Linked DNA regions of Drosophila melanogaster. The protein of the gene in region 1 interacts with the protein of each later gene in a pairwise test. Each region holds a gene or a part of one and is shown on either strand. Other genes may lie near its edges.

Region 1 (8,348 bases):
ACAGCCCACCTCCACCTCTGTCCGCCCTGAAAAAACCCCTCCAATCTGCCGCCAGCCTGTGGATGCAATATGATTTCAATTAGTACCATTCGTTAGTGAGCGAGTGTGGCACTCAGAACTGATTATTGCAGAGACTTATAAATTGCTGTTTGGTTGCAAACTTCAAGAAGAATTATGTTTGCCTTTATTACTAGATCGACGCAATTATGCAAAATGTTTGTCTTAACTCAAAGATCCTGTAAATTTCTCTTATATTCAACAGTTTTCAGTAAAACATTTTAGGTATTAAGCTTTCTAGGCATAAAGTAATCCAATAAAATCAAACGTTTTATAGATCCTGAACAAACATTACATCGAAACCTATCCATTTCTTTTTTTTTTTCGTTACCTTACCGCAGCGGAAGGCGAATTATTGCTTTAAACAAATTTATTTATAACCCAAATTAAATAACTCAGAGCAATGGACTTGACTCCGGTTGCCACTAAATTCGCTAGTCGAATGCAATTTGCAGATTTACTAACCCCCAGGAGCAGAATGAGCAGGAGCCGCAGATGGAGCCACAGATGGAGATGGAGTCCGAGGAGCCGGACTTGCTGCAGTTTGGAGAAAATTGCAATTGCAATTACCAAGGCGGAGAAAGAGGGAGAGCGAACAGTGGGATAGAGAGAGAGAGAAAGAGAAGGAGGGAGCAGCGCCATGCCACGGGTAAAACAACTAAACAACGCCGAGCGACGACAGTTTGACTTGCAATTTTAGCTGCACCAGCAGACCCCAGCAGCGAAATCAGCGAAACCGTGGTCGCCGCATCATCCCCATCATCATCCGCGCCGTCATCATCATCATCGTCATCAAAGGAATCATCATTAGCGGCATCATCATTAACCAGTAAGTGAGGCAAAGTGGAGCTCACTCACGACTAGGCAATATCCTTTGCTTAAAAAGCGATTTAAACACAAAACTTAGAAATTACAAAGTGAAATACAATTGTATTTATACAAATAGTATTTAACAATAACATGTCCATCTTCTTTTTATAAATTGTAAAAATCTAAAAACTCCTTTATTTCGCTTAAAGCTTGAGCAAATAAAAGTTGTTCCTTTTGACCATTACATTTTGATGGTCAAACGCAGTATATCCGCATAATCCACGAGGATCTCGGGTACGAAAACCGCGCGCGCCTCGACCATATCCATTACAGCCAGAATAACAGGAGGCTCTGGAGCAGGAGCAGGCGGACTGGGATTGGAAATGGGATTGGGAATGGCAACGGGAATGGGAATGGGGCAATGTGGAGCAGGGCAGAGCACTAAGGGCCGAGGACAGCGAGTAGTTGTTGGCCTGCGGCTGCCCGTCCTGGCCAAGTTTGCGAGAAAATCGATTTTAGCGCTGCCTGCGCTCGCACGGGCGGCCTTTTGGATGCGAGTGTCCAGGTTTCAGGTCCAGATCCAGATCCAGCTCCACTGCGAGTGCGATTTCGAGTACGTTGCCCAGTCACAGTGCCATTCGTATTCCCCAGCCTTCAGTCCGCCAGTCGACAGTCCCACTCCCATTTTCATTCCCAGTAGGGGAGTTGCACTCCTGTTTGTCCACAGCAAGAAATACCAAGGGTTATACCTTTAAAAAGTTCGTTCTATGACTTTAAGAACTTAAACGTATAAAAGGATTTAAATTTAATTCCACATTTAAACTATCAAAAAAAAAAAAAGGAATAGCTTTTTTAAAGATAATTTTATAAATTTCATCCACTTTTCCGTTTAAGATTTATTTTGTTTCCCATTCTTGTTTTACAACTCAACTATTAAGATACACATATAGGCCTATCAGTACCATAAATCCACTTTATATCTGTGATTATCTTTATGGGGATGCACCTTTTTTTTGGCTCAGTGTCCGTTCTGTTTGTTTGTTTGTCGCTTTTAATGCTGAACGGAGTTGGCGAAGGCGACTCTTGACTGATTTTTATGCTTTTGGCCCAATTGCCCCGCAGTAGCCGCTCCGTTCGGAGAGCGGACTCCGATGGGCACTGGGCACTGGGCAATGGGCATCGACCGGTTCTCACTGCTCGGTCCTCGGTCCTCGGCCGGGATTACACCTTCCTGCCCTGCGAGGCGAGGTGCCCCCTCAATGCCACCCATTAGCGGCCCTTTGTTTGACTTGCAGTTGCAATATAAGGTCATTCCTCTGCTCTTGTTCTTGCCGGTGTTTTTGTTGCAGTTGCACGCTTTTCGTTTCGTTTGATGGCTGCGCACGCGGCCTTTTGTTAGTTTTCCCCAACCAATTTCATTTTTTCTTTTTTTTTTCCTTTCCATTATTATTATGCTTTTTTCGTACTCTTAAAGGGAACAACATCGGCGAAATCGCAGTCTAATCACTTCATTAGCCCGAGTCTCCCACCGCTTTTGGCCATGTTAACACGTTGTTCGCCTGCAAGTTGCACGAACTTGCTGGCAAAGTGCGAAAAAAAATGGATTTTAATTGAAAAAGTGTGGGAAGTGTAAACATCGATGCGACTTTTGCTTTCTTTGGATTGTTTAAGTGGTGCCCCGGATTTAATGTAAAACAACTAGAATGTATTTCAAAAGTATGAAAAATTCCATGAATTTTCTACAATTTTTGCAATCATAATTGTATAAATTTCAAGCAAATTTTTAATGGCTCTTAATAATAGTGCAAAATCATCGAGACAACTATGCTTTTATGTAAATTTTGTTTTGACCAATTACTCGGAGTATAAGTGCACATTTTGTAGATGTACAATTAAGTGTTGTTTGCCCACAACTAAATGCTTAAATGGAGACCATTAAAGTGGCTTTTAGAGCATCAAAACTCCAGTCGGAAATATCGCAAAAGTTGAATCGCAACTAATTTACTAACCCACACTATATTTGCCTAAAGTTTTCTCACAATTGTAAAGGTGAAATAGCATCAGCTGTGAGTCTGTGGAGCTGTGAAGAGTGCTCCTCTCGCTTATCGCATAATTGGTAGCAATGTTGGCTGCCACTTTTTGCTGCGGCTTCTGTGGCAGCAGGAACCATGGAAGCAGGCGATTCTTTCTCGGCTCTCCACCTCGCCACCGTATCCGTCGCATTCCGGAGATGCCGGCAAAACACTTGTCAGCGACTTAAATGGCGCGCAGCTGTGCGGCATTAGCTGGGGAGAGCTGGTAAGGCTGGGCAGCCAAGATCTGGGAGTTGAGAGGAGACCAGCGAGACCAGGGAGACCAGTGGACACACCTCTTAAGGAGGTGTTGCGACCGCTGCTCCAGGAAGTGGGCATCTGGAGGGGGAAGGCGTAGGGAGCACGGCACTGCAAGTCCAGTGGCGACATTTGATGTGATTATTGAGTTATGCCCACGGGGGCAGGTGCCAGGCATATTTCGCTTAATTTTCTGATGAAGTTATTCACCGAGATATGGAACGCAGCGAAAATGTACACGTATTATAAGCACAGATAAGCTACCCAAACAAGCAGGCACAAAAAAAATAAGAGACAAGGTAAAAGAAGGTGTGGTTGTGTGATTTTAAATGACAATCCTCTTCGGTGTCTAAAGTCGGCAGTTTAGGGTTTTATTTGGACACGGCCACGACAGGTGTTTAAAAAACATTTCAAGTCTCAAAATGTTGAAAGCACACAAGTAATCAATGTTTTTTTAATTGACGTTTAATTATTGCTCGAGACAGAAATTAATTGAGTTCGATAAATCATTATGTCGAACTTTCAATATGTCTTTGAATATTTCATATTATGTGATTCTGCATAATTTTCAATTAAAGAATTTATATCAGTGGGTTAAATGCGTGTTGTAATTTTGCACAAGAACTTTCAATTCGAAAGAAGATACGCACTTTTTAAGTGAAATATGTGACTTTATGAGTCATTCTATCTCAAAAAGGAAGTTTTCAAGACATTAAGGAAGTGTTTATACAATTTAAACCAAATGAGTGAAAAATGGACAATTGTATAACAAAATGCAGAGAGGAAGTGTTGCATAAATAATTAACATTTGTCAGGAAATCTGTGGGCAGCAACAACAAAAAGCCGGCCAAGAGTCAGAATTAGAGGGAAATAAGAGGGAGACAGAGATGAAACGAAAACAGCAGGCACTACTAAATCACCGACAACAACAACAACAGCAACCCCGGAGGATGAGGATAGAGTGGAAATGGGAAGGGAATAAAAACATAAAAAAAAGCGGCACAGATTGCCGAGAACAAGAACTAAACACAGGCACACACACAGTTTGAGCACTCCAGCTGTGTAGTTGTTGTTGTTGCTGTTTTTTCGCCGCTCCTTTCTGCCCTGCAATCAATAAAACGGATTAGGAATATCCTTTAAATGCGGCGCTTGGTGGAGGCTGCACACACACACTATCGCACTCACGAAATCTCCCTCACACACACAAAAGCACACACAGGCACACATGGCTGCAAATCTTTTACAATAACACATATAGGAGGAATAGAAGTAGCGGCACTTACTTTTCGTTTTCGTGTTTCTCCGTTCGTAGAGGAAATTAGGAGATGGCAATTGAAGGTGGAAGAAAGGAGGATGGCAAGGAGGAGATGAAAACAAAACCGAAAAACGTACACTCAAACACGCACGCACACGAAGACACGCAGGGCGCAATGATTTACCGTTACGCGACGCGAAAATGCTCACAGGAATGGCTACCAATTTACTCCAATTTTGATTTTGTCACTTGCATCACAAACATTCACATTCGACCCCAACGACCTTGCTGTTCCTCCTACGCGCAACTAAAGTGCTATGCTACAAATGCAATTTAAATGCTTGCTAAATAACTGGGTTTTTTTTTTCGTAGAGGAACACACACGACGTTTCAAATTAACAAATTGCTGCCGGTTGTGTCTGCGTTATCACGATTCCTTGATGGCATGGCTGATGGTAATTGGTTATTGGCCAGCCTGTTTGCTTATTAAACGGCTCGTTTGGCCACCGTTTTCGTTTCGCTCAATTCTCAATCACAACACACTTGCTTCAGTTTTACCGGCTTTTTCAGTTTCAATTTCACGCGAATAGACCGCTCGAGCTGGTTTTCAAAACGACCGGATCTCGAACATTTCGACGACTGACCGCGCGGCGATAAATGCGTTCGTATATATTCGTATATGTTGCTTGCTCCATCTGGCATTTTTAGCATCACAGCCGAGCTCGCGAACGGTCACTCTCTTGGTTCGATGCAACCGATTTAGTTCGAGTTCGAAGGGTTTCGAACTTACGTTTCTTATATTAAAAGAAGTGCACAAAAATTCAATAAATTGTTTGTTTCTATTTATATTTCATAATTAGAAAAGTACAATTATTGTTTACCGTTTTCTTGCCCGTAGATCATTTAAATTTAGCCGCGCCACAATTGCATTCTTATATTTGAAATACGTACTAATTGGGCGAATTTAGTTCATTTAGTACAATTGATGCGCATGCGTCTCTCTTGAAAATTAAATTCTCTCGCATTTACAGTGCCAAGATAACTGTTAAGCTAACAGCTGTTAAGTCTAAGCAATAAATAAAAAAATAGTAAACTGTATAAATATCAGTATTATTAAAAATATTTACATTTATTTCGTTTCTTTTTGTTTTTGGCGGTTTCAGAAACCAATTCAGAAATTTAATTTACAATTTTTATGAGTTCAAGCTTTGAGCGATTTGATTGAGTGGTTCGATTTCCGTATCCAGCGATACAGAGGGCAGCACATGAAGCACCAAAAGCACCCGGGATCACACACACATCCTTGGTCCTGGAACATCCACTCCTGGGGATCTCGAAGAATACAGCCACAAAATTGGAAGATCTATGTATATAGAAAGTTTTGACCGCTCACACGGCGGTGATGAGATGGGCGTCATCCTCGTTGATTCGATCCGACTTTCCATTGACCTCGATCGTGTGATTGGACTCGGTGTCGCTGGGTTCCTGCTCGACCTCCTCATCCGCTTCATCGTCCTCGTCCCCCTGGGAGGAGTTCTCACCATTTTCCTTGTCGGGCGATTCTCGCTCCTCGTTTTCCTCGTATATGACGTCACAGCTGGTGGCTATTGATTTGGGCGGCGGCTTCTTTACCGCTTTTCCACCGCCTTTGCGGTCACCATTTTGTTGCATCTCGGACATTTGAATCTGCATTTCCCGCAGGCGATCGGTGAGCACATACAAATCCCGCTCCTGACTCTCGCATCGTGTCCTCAATTCGGTTATCTCACGCAGATCCTCGGCTCGAGGATCTCGTCTTTCGTATCGCATGCGCATCTCCTCAAATCTGCGCAAAAAGGATTGCAAAATTCCTTAAATATTTACTATATTCACTACTAAACTACCAAAAAGGATAATGGTGAATTCAAGGCGGATGCTGGATACTGACTTGGCGTACAACATCCCACAACACGGACAAGCAAAAGTAAGATAAATTTGTGTTAAAGATAAAAAGAGTTAAAAGGTCGAGCTCTTAAATCCCTTTCCTTTCCGATTTTATTTTTTTATTTTTCAAAATTATATAAAGATAAGAATCTTATATTTTAGCAAAATTCGAAAGTTTCGAATCATAATTCCATAGATCTGTGGTCTCAATCACACTCAATCTTTTAATTAACTTTCCTTAGACTTAGGAACTCGACCTTGGGGAAGATGGGTCAGGGTGGCTGGTGGTTTTTGGGGAATGGGTGCACTTACAGATTGGTCAGGCAGCGGCACTTGCGATGCAGCTGCTCGATCTCGTTGGCGTTGCTGATGTCGCGCTTGTCCAGCGCCGCCTTCTCGGCATCGTAGGCCGCCTTCAGGTCCTTGAGATTGCGCTGGTGCCGAAGTTCTACATCGCTGCGGTTGCGGATGCGGATACGAATGCGTACGCGGATACGGATGCAGATTCGGATTCGGGTTGGGGTTATTCAGGTTATATAGAGTGGTCAGAGGTTGAGGTGGATACACACACATAGCGAGAAAGAGAAAGTAAAATATTAGGAGAATCGCACCAGAAGGACAACGTTTGACAAGCTGCATGCCAGATAAAAACATATTTTTTTTCTTATGGGTTTTGTTCGCATTTCAAACATTTCAATACCAATGTCTTATGTCTAACAAGAGATTTTCGATGATGGCCAGTCTTAAATTTAAATCAAGAATCATTTTAAGCGTGAAAAGGGGGATTAATATTTTATTGGCGCGCTAGGAGGTGGCGATATTTGATATAGATCACTGCGACAATATTGAACACCAAGCATGCAATGGCGATCAGCGGCGACATGGTCAGATATAGCACATATAGTGTGGGCATATACGGCCACGCCCCCTTTGCAAACGCCCACAGGGCTGGAGAGGCTGTCGATCGACCTAAACGCTGATCCATGCTGATCCAATGAATGAAATGTGAAACGAAAGAGAACAGAATACAAGTTCATGTGATAATGGATCGAGTTCAAGGACTCCAATGTGACAAATGTGGCAAATGAGTAGGATGCAGACATTCAATGCAAGCCAATGGATCCTGCTTCAATTTAGTGGGGAGCAGCGGTCAGGGGGCACTATTAAGGTAAGTATGCCCATGGGGCGGGGCATGCCACATTGCATTCACTCACTTGATTCGTTCATCGGCAGCGGCCATTTTTGCGCGATGTCGCTCCACAAGTTCCTGCAACGCCTCCTCCTTCTCCGCCTGCAACTTGGCCTTTTGTGAGTCTGCCGATTGATATAATCAATTATATAATTATATATAATAATAATCAATATACACATGTATCTTTACCCAGCTCCTTTCGATGTGATTCGACCATTTCCTGAGTGGAGAGCTGCAGTTCCTTGGCAAACTCCTCCTTAACTTGACCGAGACGTTCGCGGAACTTCTCCTCCATTTCGGCCTTCTCCGCCTCGAACTCCTTCTGGAGTCGTTCCTCCAGCTCGACACGGCGATCCTCCTCGCGGCACATGGCATTCTGGTACTCGCGATCGGCCTTATCCAAATGCATTCGGGTCTGAAGCAGGGCGTTATCCGAACGTTCGCGCAGGCTGAGGAAATCCTGTTTCTTTTGCTCCAGGCTCTCGTGCAGATCGTCAATCTAAATGATGGTTTATAAAATGCAAATATGCATTCGATTGCAGTTTATCTATAACACTATGAACCCACCTCAGATCGCAGTTCCTCCTCGTTGGCCGTGTATCTGTTGGTCAGGGCCCTCAGCTCCTCGATGTGCTCGTTCTGCAGTTTGTCCAACGCCTCGCGACGCTCGTCCACATACACGGACTCCAGTTCATTTGTCAGTCTTGTCATCTCTGTGCTGAAGGCATAAAAGTTCAATTTGGAGCACTCAATATGATGACTTGTGACTTACTAAAGTTTG
Region 2 (8,292 bases), on another chromosome or scaffold:
CCAAAAACAGAACAACAGCATGCGGCAACAAAGCATCTCTCTCGTCATAATGATGTGGATCCATCCATCCATCCATTCATCCATTCACCCATCTGTCTATCCATCCATTCATCCATACCTTGTTCCCTACAACCAACAATGTGAGACTTTTTCAGTTTTCATTCGAGTGGGAGTATTCGGACTTGGTCTTGAACTGTGACAGCCATTATAAACATTTCAATCAGAAAATTTCGAATTTAAACTGAATTGAAAGGTGAGCGAAATGAACTCCCAGTAGATTATCAGCCATCAATCAATTTCGGTCTAAGAACTTCTTTGTCCGAAAGGTCAATTTACATAATTAATGATATAAATATATTGTTTAGTAATGCGAAGATATATCGAATCAGATTTTCTATTGAAAATAAACCAACAAGCCGTCTGTTGGACTTTATTATGATTTAAAAATTGGTTTTAAAGGATATTGTAGCTTATTATTCCAAAACAATTTATAAGCAATTTAACATAATTAATTGTTTTGTTTTAGCAAATAATAATAATTTAAGATTTCTTCTATATACAAAGGTACCACCATCATGGCACAGTGCTCAGCATAAATATAGCATACTTTTCTGACCTTCAGCATGGGAATAGCCATATCAATTTACACCTCGGAGCCTCCGCAATTATTATCTATTAATGTTGCTTTCAGGGCATATCAGCATCGCATTCCTTTTTTTTCCACCCCTGTTTGTGTTTCCTGACTGCCCGTTTTTTTAATGTTTATTATTTGTTTTTTGTTTATTATAAAGTACAAACAGGCAGGCGGACCGGGACCACCCACTCGGCCCTCGAGACCGTTCCATTCAATTTGCGGGACCCAAATGCTAGTTAGGCATTAATGTGCGGAGCACACGAGAAATCTACGGAAATCCTGTGAATTTTCCATCGCAGCCATTGCGTGGGCCCGCCTTATTATGGCGGCTCGACTTTGACTTTCTCTTTTTAGCCCTCTCGAAGCGGAAGTCATTTTCGCGAAAATCGAGGGGGGCGGGGGGTGGAAACGGCGGGCAGGTTGAACACAACTGCAACTTTGAGGCAAAATGCGAATCAAAAAGAAATGGACGCGTTTCCAGATCATAAAGGCAATTTTATAGCCTGGTGGGCATTTCAGTTTTGTATTTTTATTGACAATAAGTTAACAATGTTTACGTGTTTAGTTGGTTGTTGTTGTTGTTTGGACTATTTTTGAGGCATCACAACAACCTCCTGACCGGACCAAAAATACTCGGTGTTTTCCCAACTGCTTCGAATTTCCCACATTTCCCCGCGATGATTTTCTTTTGTTTACAATTAGTTTTTTCGTTCTTTTTAAATTTGTTCCATCGGCTTAATGAAAAATGAGAAATATGTACTACTGAGCAGAGAAGCGCGAGAGAACGAGAGAATGGGAGAATGTGAGAAAGGGAGAGTGGGTGAGAGTCTCATTTTCTCTGCGCCTGCTCATAGGACCCTTGGGCTTTGGATACGGGCTAAGGATGTGGGTCTCGGTTTCGGTTTCGGGCTAGCGTTCGGCTTAGGCTGTGGGATCCGGACTGGGATTGGTTCGGATTCGGGTTTGGGTTGGTGTTTGGATTTGGGGATGAGGAGGGCCTTTGCCCTCGCCGTCGGCCCAACATCAAAAAACATTTCGCCATTTGTCTCTGGGACCTGTAAAGATTTTCTAATTTTCCTTGTACTTTTCACTTTTGCCCGTGAGTGTGTCGCCGCGCTTAAGTAGGGTTTTATGTATCCTCCCACTAGGAACAAAATTGAAGGTGTCTCCTCGAGTAAGGTGTCTATTTGGCAAGCATTTCAAAGAAACTAATTCGCATTAGTGGCACCTTTTCCCCCCATGAAAATTAAATCGGTTTTATACACGATTTATTTTCAATCGTCAGAGCTCTATAAATATCTCTGCTGCAATATTGATCCCACACCCAGTGCACTGCATTTTGGGTCAGCAGATTTATCATTGCCAACGGGTAAGCTAATTATGCTTATGTTATTATTATAATAATATTAAAACATCGAATCATAATCAAATTTGTTGCTTTTGAAAACAATTATTCGGATTAAATTTGCACATGGACAGAAAATCTTTCACATATCTTAATAGCCGATTGCAATAATTATTTAAAAAACATAAATTTGTAATTGAATCATAAACATCGCGATGTTGGCTATAAATTCAAACAAAGGCATGCATTAAATGCATTTAATTATTCGCCAACTGATGCATGGACAATTAAAATCATCTCAATTTGGAAACGGAGTAAAATAATTTCAACAATATTTGTTTGCATTGGCAAGAAAAATATTGACCAGCTTTCAGCATCCTTCGCATATTAATTTTTATGTAGCCGCAACACACTGCGTATGCTTATTATTAATTCAAGCATTGCCCATACGTCATGTTGTGCCAGAGGACAATACAAGAAAAGGCCGAATGCGTCGACAGCAATTCGATTTCAAGGTGATTTATTATTTAAATTTCATGTTCCGAAACAAGTCTGGGCAGCAACAAGAAGAAGCAAGGGTTGCTGGAAACTGGTAAACTCAATGGCACGTGCACTTGGAAAAACTGAATCAAAATAACATGTATTCCATATTCAACTATTTGATCCTTACACTTGTTATTTTGGCTATTACCTTTTATTATTATACCCACATCATTTGTGTGATATCTATGTAATCATTATACAATACGTATACTTCTCAACCGTTAAAGTTTTTCTCAAATTCATAGCTTACACAATATAAGAAAATGTTGGGATTCGGGATGTTCAAGGATGAAACTTTGGAGTTTCCGCCGTTGTTCGCATTAATTGCAAAAGACATTAAAACTTTATAGAGTCGTGCTTATCAGTTGGCCAACATCGTCAGCTGGAAGAGCTGCAATGTAGCGAATCCACCACCACTAGCACCGAAAAACTTTCGTCCTGATGGCCATGGCAAGCAGGACACCAAGAGCGGTTCAAAGGGATGTGATGATGCGGGGCGTCCAGTGGACGTGCAAGTGGCCCAAAGAGCCAAATCCTGGGTCGCACTGGGTGGATGGTGCGGCTAACAGCGATGGGGTGGTGGTTGCTTGGTTGGATGTGGCCAATGGCGTAATTTATGTAGGCCCGCTAAGCCTTTTCATGCGTAAAATGTGTTTATATCTGCGTATAAATACGCGTACAACTGTGACCACGTACGGGATTGTGTACTATATGTGCTTATTGGGGTGTAAGAGATATATGTATAGAGATACAACCAGGGGTAGCAAAATAATTTGCGGTCGAAACAAAAAATCTTCAATACTACAGGATATTCGTGATAATTATTACTAAGATCTTCAAGAGTAAAAGCACTTATTTCTATTAAGATCAACCCCATCGATTTGAGGTGAGGTAATAAAAGAACCGCATTACGGTGTCCATGTGCATTAAGCTGCAATAAAAGTGTAATTTTAAACCAATGATAACAAAACAACAACTACTGGATGTGCGGCAGCTGCTCTGCAACTGCGCTGCAACTGCGCTGCCTCTGCTGCTTTAAGCGCGTCATCAAAGAGACACACACACACATAGAAGAGAGATAAAGCCTTTGTGTGTGTGTGCGCTTGCATCGGTGATGCTGGTATTAGTGCAGCTTTGTTATTGCGCCAAAAACCAAGCCAAGGATTTTTCACACATTTACGCCAACAAATGGACTGCAGCTGCACTGGGCAAAAGGATAGTACATAAATTTGATATCTGCATTATTATACTCATTAATATCGGGAAAATAAATGTTAGGTTGCAATCCAATTCCGGGATTCTACTTCAACATTTTCAAATGTTGGGTTTATTTATAAGATAAGAAATTTATTGTTAAGAAACACATCAAAATCCCTATAAGTTATATGATTATATTTGAATGAGAGAAATACTACAAAAAAACTATGTTCATATGTAAGTAAAATGTAAATGGGAGCACTACAATCTGGCTAACAGTAAAAATAAATTTTAAAGGAATTATTGTTATGCTTTGAAGGAATTTTTAAAGAAATATCGGAAAGCAACGATTTTTCCCAGTGTCCTGTTTGCTCCTGGCTGCCTCGCTCTCTCTTTCTCTCCTACAGACGACCTTCACTTTCGTGGGACCGACCGTTATATATTTTGTGTGCCTAACGCTTTTTTAACGTGTTATGTTGTTTCTCTATTTTCGCTGGCCCGCTGGTCAAATTAATACCCTGAGTGGGTGGTGCGTGTGTGGAGAGGGGGGCTGAGGCGATTGTCGATTTAAATAGGCCAACTATGCAGAAAAAACAACTTGTTGTTGGGCTGCAGGCACGCCATAAGGTGCACTTAAAAAGCGTGTTTTAAAATGAGCTAACCGCATGGCAAGGATATGGGCGGTTTGAACTAGATGTGAATTTTCCACACTTATTTTCCCTCTGGTTTTCTGTTATTTTTTACGGCTGTTGTTGTTGCTGAGAGAACGAGCGCTACAGCAACAACAAAAACAACAACAACAACAACAGCAACATTCGCGGATACACACATTTTCACAAATCAAAAAAGCAAACGAATATTGCCACACAAACCCGTACACAGAGAAACACACTCCCACACACACACATACACACAAATGAACAAGAGAGACAGACAGGGAAAATCTCTCATTTTTTATGGATTTTCTGGGAAGGCAATCTGCTTTCGCTGATGTTTGATTAAACAATTGCTTTTTATACTCCTGTTGACTATCGTCCATCATCTGCCCGCATTTCGCTGGGAAATTGGGGAAAACTGTTTACACATACATACGCACGCCTTTCGTTTTATTGCATTTTACACTTCTCGCCTCTTACACTTTTCCCACCTCATCCGTTCCTCCTTTCGTTAGCCGCACATTTTCCGCACTACTGCGTGTACATTTTCCACGCTTTCGATCCGGGAAATTCGATGCTGGCCCCTGTCTGTTTTTGGAAAAACAATTTTTCTGACACTTTTTCAGCCTTTTCTGCACGCACGGGGGCCACAAAAAACTTGGCCCAAACTGCGTCCCGCTTTTTGCTCCGCTCGGCGTTTTCTTGGGGGCGTTCAGACAAACAGTTTTCGACAAACTGAAAGTGAAAAGTAAATGCAAAAGCGCCAGCGCCTCCGACAGTCGGTAGTTTCACTCGGAGCATGCGAGTCCGAACCCAAATCCGAACCAGAATCCGGGACAGCAGCGAGATGCTCACGGCGTCGGCGCACTTCGACGAGCAAGTGGTGGCCACTGGCCTCTGAAGACGATGCAGAATCGAAACAGATGTTCATGTTGCCTTCCGAATGAACTATGATCAAATATTTATGGCTAATACCACATATCAATGGATTCATATCAAGGATATCACAATTCAGTCGCAGTCGATAGCCATGCATTTTTCACAGGATCTATAGTTTATTAGCCCCTTACCTGTTACCCACACTTAGCAAACCTTTATACTGTTTTGAATCGAATATAATCGAAAAAGAAAGTTACTTGAAACCGAATTGTATCTCCAAAATGTATAGTTTAATTAATTATAGTTAATTTATAATTTATTTATAAAAACATGACCAAATCTTAATATTAATTTGGTTCACCCAGCGCACCCAAACATGATTTGCAATAAATATGTTTTATTTTTGATAATACAACATTACAAATATCACTGAATATCTATCAAGGACACGGCTTGTACACATGCTTATGGCAAAGTGCTTTCCAAGCCAAAAAATTCACTAAAGATTTGGCCCTGCAAACATTTTCCATTCCATAGTTTATGGGCCAATTGGGATAATTATGAATTTTTTTAGTTGAACGCACACATTCAAATCAAAAATAAAAATCTAAATTTAAAAAGAAAAATTTTCAACAATCTTCAGACCAACTGATTATTAGCAAAATCTTTTAAGGCCAGTTTTAGCCAATCTTCTTTGGAAGTGAAAATGGAAGCCTGGCCAGTTCTAATATTACTAGGCGAGTGAGGGATTTCGGAGTGATTTTCTATTTGGCGGCCGGAGCAGATCCTTCGCTCTGCTGAGAGTCATTAAACTGTTTGTGCCACTCGAGATTCATCTTTGTGACGGATTCTCCTTTCTTGGCGGCCTGCTTGCCACTGTACACCATAATGGCGCATCCCACGGCGGTGAGTGCGATCATTATGTTGGCCAGGCGGATGCGCATTTTGTTGCGGCAGCGCTCCATGACATCCTGACTGCAAGTTTTGACACCAAAACTTAGACACCTGTTGCATTTGCTCTCTAAGAATCGGCACTTACCTAACGAAATTGGGAATCTCGGACTGCGACTTGTATTTGCCGGTCCAAACCAACATACGGCGCTCCAGATTGTTTGGCTCGTGGTTCTTGATCGTCTCTCGCAACATCTGACTGGTGCCGAAGGATCTACGCACCAAGGCGCCAATTAACCCCGTTTTGCTTAGCATATTGCCTTTTTTAATCGTTTCACAAGTAATCTTGCAAAAGAGAATTGGAATTTTATGCAATTCGATTAACAGTGGTTGCTAACATAACAGAGCTGTCACACGGTCGATAACTGTGAAAACAGCTGGGATTTCTTTGGTCACCCTGAGAGACGTTCACACTGTACAATGAAGTGATTGAAAAAATGAACAACAAACTAAACTAAACTGGAAATTCTTTGTTAATCAGGTGAAATTTTGATGGTGCTAAAACTGCTGGAAAAAATAAATCTGATATTTAAAAATATATAGTAGGGAAAAATATTAGAAGTAAAGCAGTGTGACCATCTCTGAAATATGCTTAGTCGACCCAGCAACGGTCACTCTGCTATCCCCTTTAGTTTTCGTTTGCGGTGGAATAAAAGTCGGAAAAGTCAATTAAAAGCCGACTGCCACACGTCCAGAAAGCGAATTTGCGATCAAGGTCAAGATGAGCGAGTACACAAGCATTCTGCAGCGCGAGTTTCCCAAAATCGACCACGAGCTGCTCACCTATGTCGTTGGCGTGCTCACCGGAAGTAAGTGCCTTGCACTAGCCTGTGATCTTTTATTCTTTACCCCGCACACAAATTCCAATTGCCAGGCGAGGAGGACTTCGAAAGCGGCGATGACATCTTCGAAGCGGTGGGCGACATCCTGCAGAGCGTCGACTGTGATAGGTCGGAGGAGAGTGTACGTACGCTTTGCGAGCAGTTCCTCAACATCATGAAGAACAACGAGGTCAACGTGGAGCGAAAGGTTCTCAACGCGCCGGTCAACATCGAGGAGATGGCCAAGAACATGGAGCGGCTGGACAAGGATATGCAAAGCATCTGGGTGGCCAACAAAGATGGCGCCAATGTAAGTGTTCCCCTTGACGAACCACTCCAATAAACTGAATGAACGGCGCCATCAATACGACTTTCATTAAATAACAACTAAACTATTCTTATTTTAACAGAAAGTGGACTCCAAGAAACTAGGAAAGGCGGAGGCCAAGCTGCAGCAGAAGCAGGAGAAACGGCAGGAGGTGAACAAACATGGTATGATTCCTGTTGCGGTGAAGCTACAAACGGCCACAGCCTCACAGGTGACCAACAAGAAGAACACCAAGCTGGATCAGAAAGGTCTTAACCGATCCATGGACATCAAGATCGAAAACTTTGACCTGGCTTTTGGCGAAAAGTGAGGCAACCTAACTGTCGAAATTGAGCAACCGAAAATTATTGTTAATTCCATTTAGAGTTCTTCTGCAGAATGCGAATCTGCTGCTGTCTTACGGACGCCGCTATGGTCTGGTGGGACGCAATGGCCTGGGCAAGACTACACTGCTCCGCATGATTGCCGAGCGACAGCTACAGATCCCTTCGCACATATCGGTGCTGCACGTGGAGCAGGAGGTGGTTGGCGATGACACACCAGCAGTGGAGAGTGTGCTGGAATGTGATACTGAGCGAACGAGACTTCTGACCCGCGAGAAGGAGATTCTGGCTGCCCTTAACAATGGAGTTCAGGATGCGACGCTGTCCAATGAGCTGAGCGAGACCTACGCCTCTCTGCAGAACATCGAGGCGGACAAGGCTGTGGCCCGCGCATCTGTGATACTTAAGGGCTTGGGATTCGATGCAGATATGCAGCTGCGTCCAACTAAATCCTTCTCAGGCGGCTGGCGCATGCGTCTTGCTTTGGCCAGGGCACTGTTCTCAAAACCCGATCTGTTACTGCTCGATGAGCCGACGAACATGTTAGACATCAAAGCCATTATTTGGCTGGAAAACTATCTGCAGACATGGGCCACCACCATTCTGGTAGTTTCT

What was found. The genes of interacting proteins can lie anywhere in the genome.
Region 2: the proteins of SKIP (region 1) and Shal interact in a two-hybrid assay, tested with the Drosophila melanogaster proteins (one study listed by BioGRID).

What each region holds. Positions count from the first base shown.
Region 1 is NT_033777.3:22,130,584-22,138,931, reverse strand, and holds the start of SKIP (shal K[+] channel interacting protein), read right to left. Parts: upstream 5,103-8,348; 5' UTR 4,481-5,102; intron 1-4,480. Other genes in the region: CG42390 (uncharacterized protein), read right to left, coding at 5,842-6,277, 6,688-6,831, 7,179-7,361, 7,590-7,689, 7,757-8,066, 8,135-8,285, 8,340-8,348.
Region 2 is NT_037436.4:19,579,456-19,587,747, forward strand, and holds the start of Shal (shaker cognate l), read right to left. Parts: upstream 5,114-8,292; 5' UTR 4,867-5,113; exon of another isoform or gene 4,856-4,866; intron 1-4,855. Other genes in the region: CG9231 (uncharacterized protein), read right to left, coding at 6,019-6,229, 6,294-6,460; CG9330 (uncharacterized protein), read left to right, coding at 6,927-7,014, 7,080-7,336, 7,437-7,660, 7,719-8,292. UniProt on the Drosophila melanogaster protein: Mediates the voltage-dependent potassium ion permeability of excitable membranes.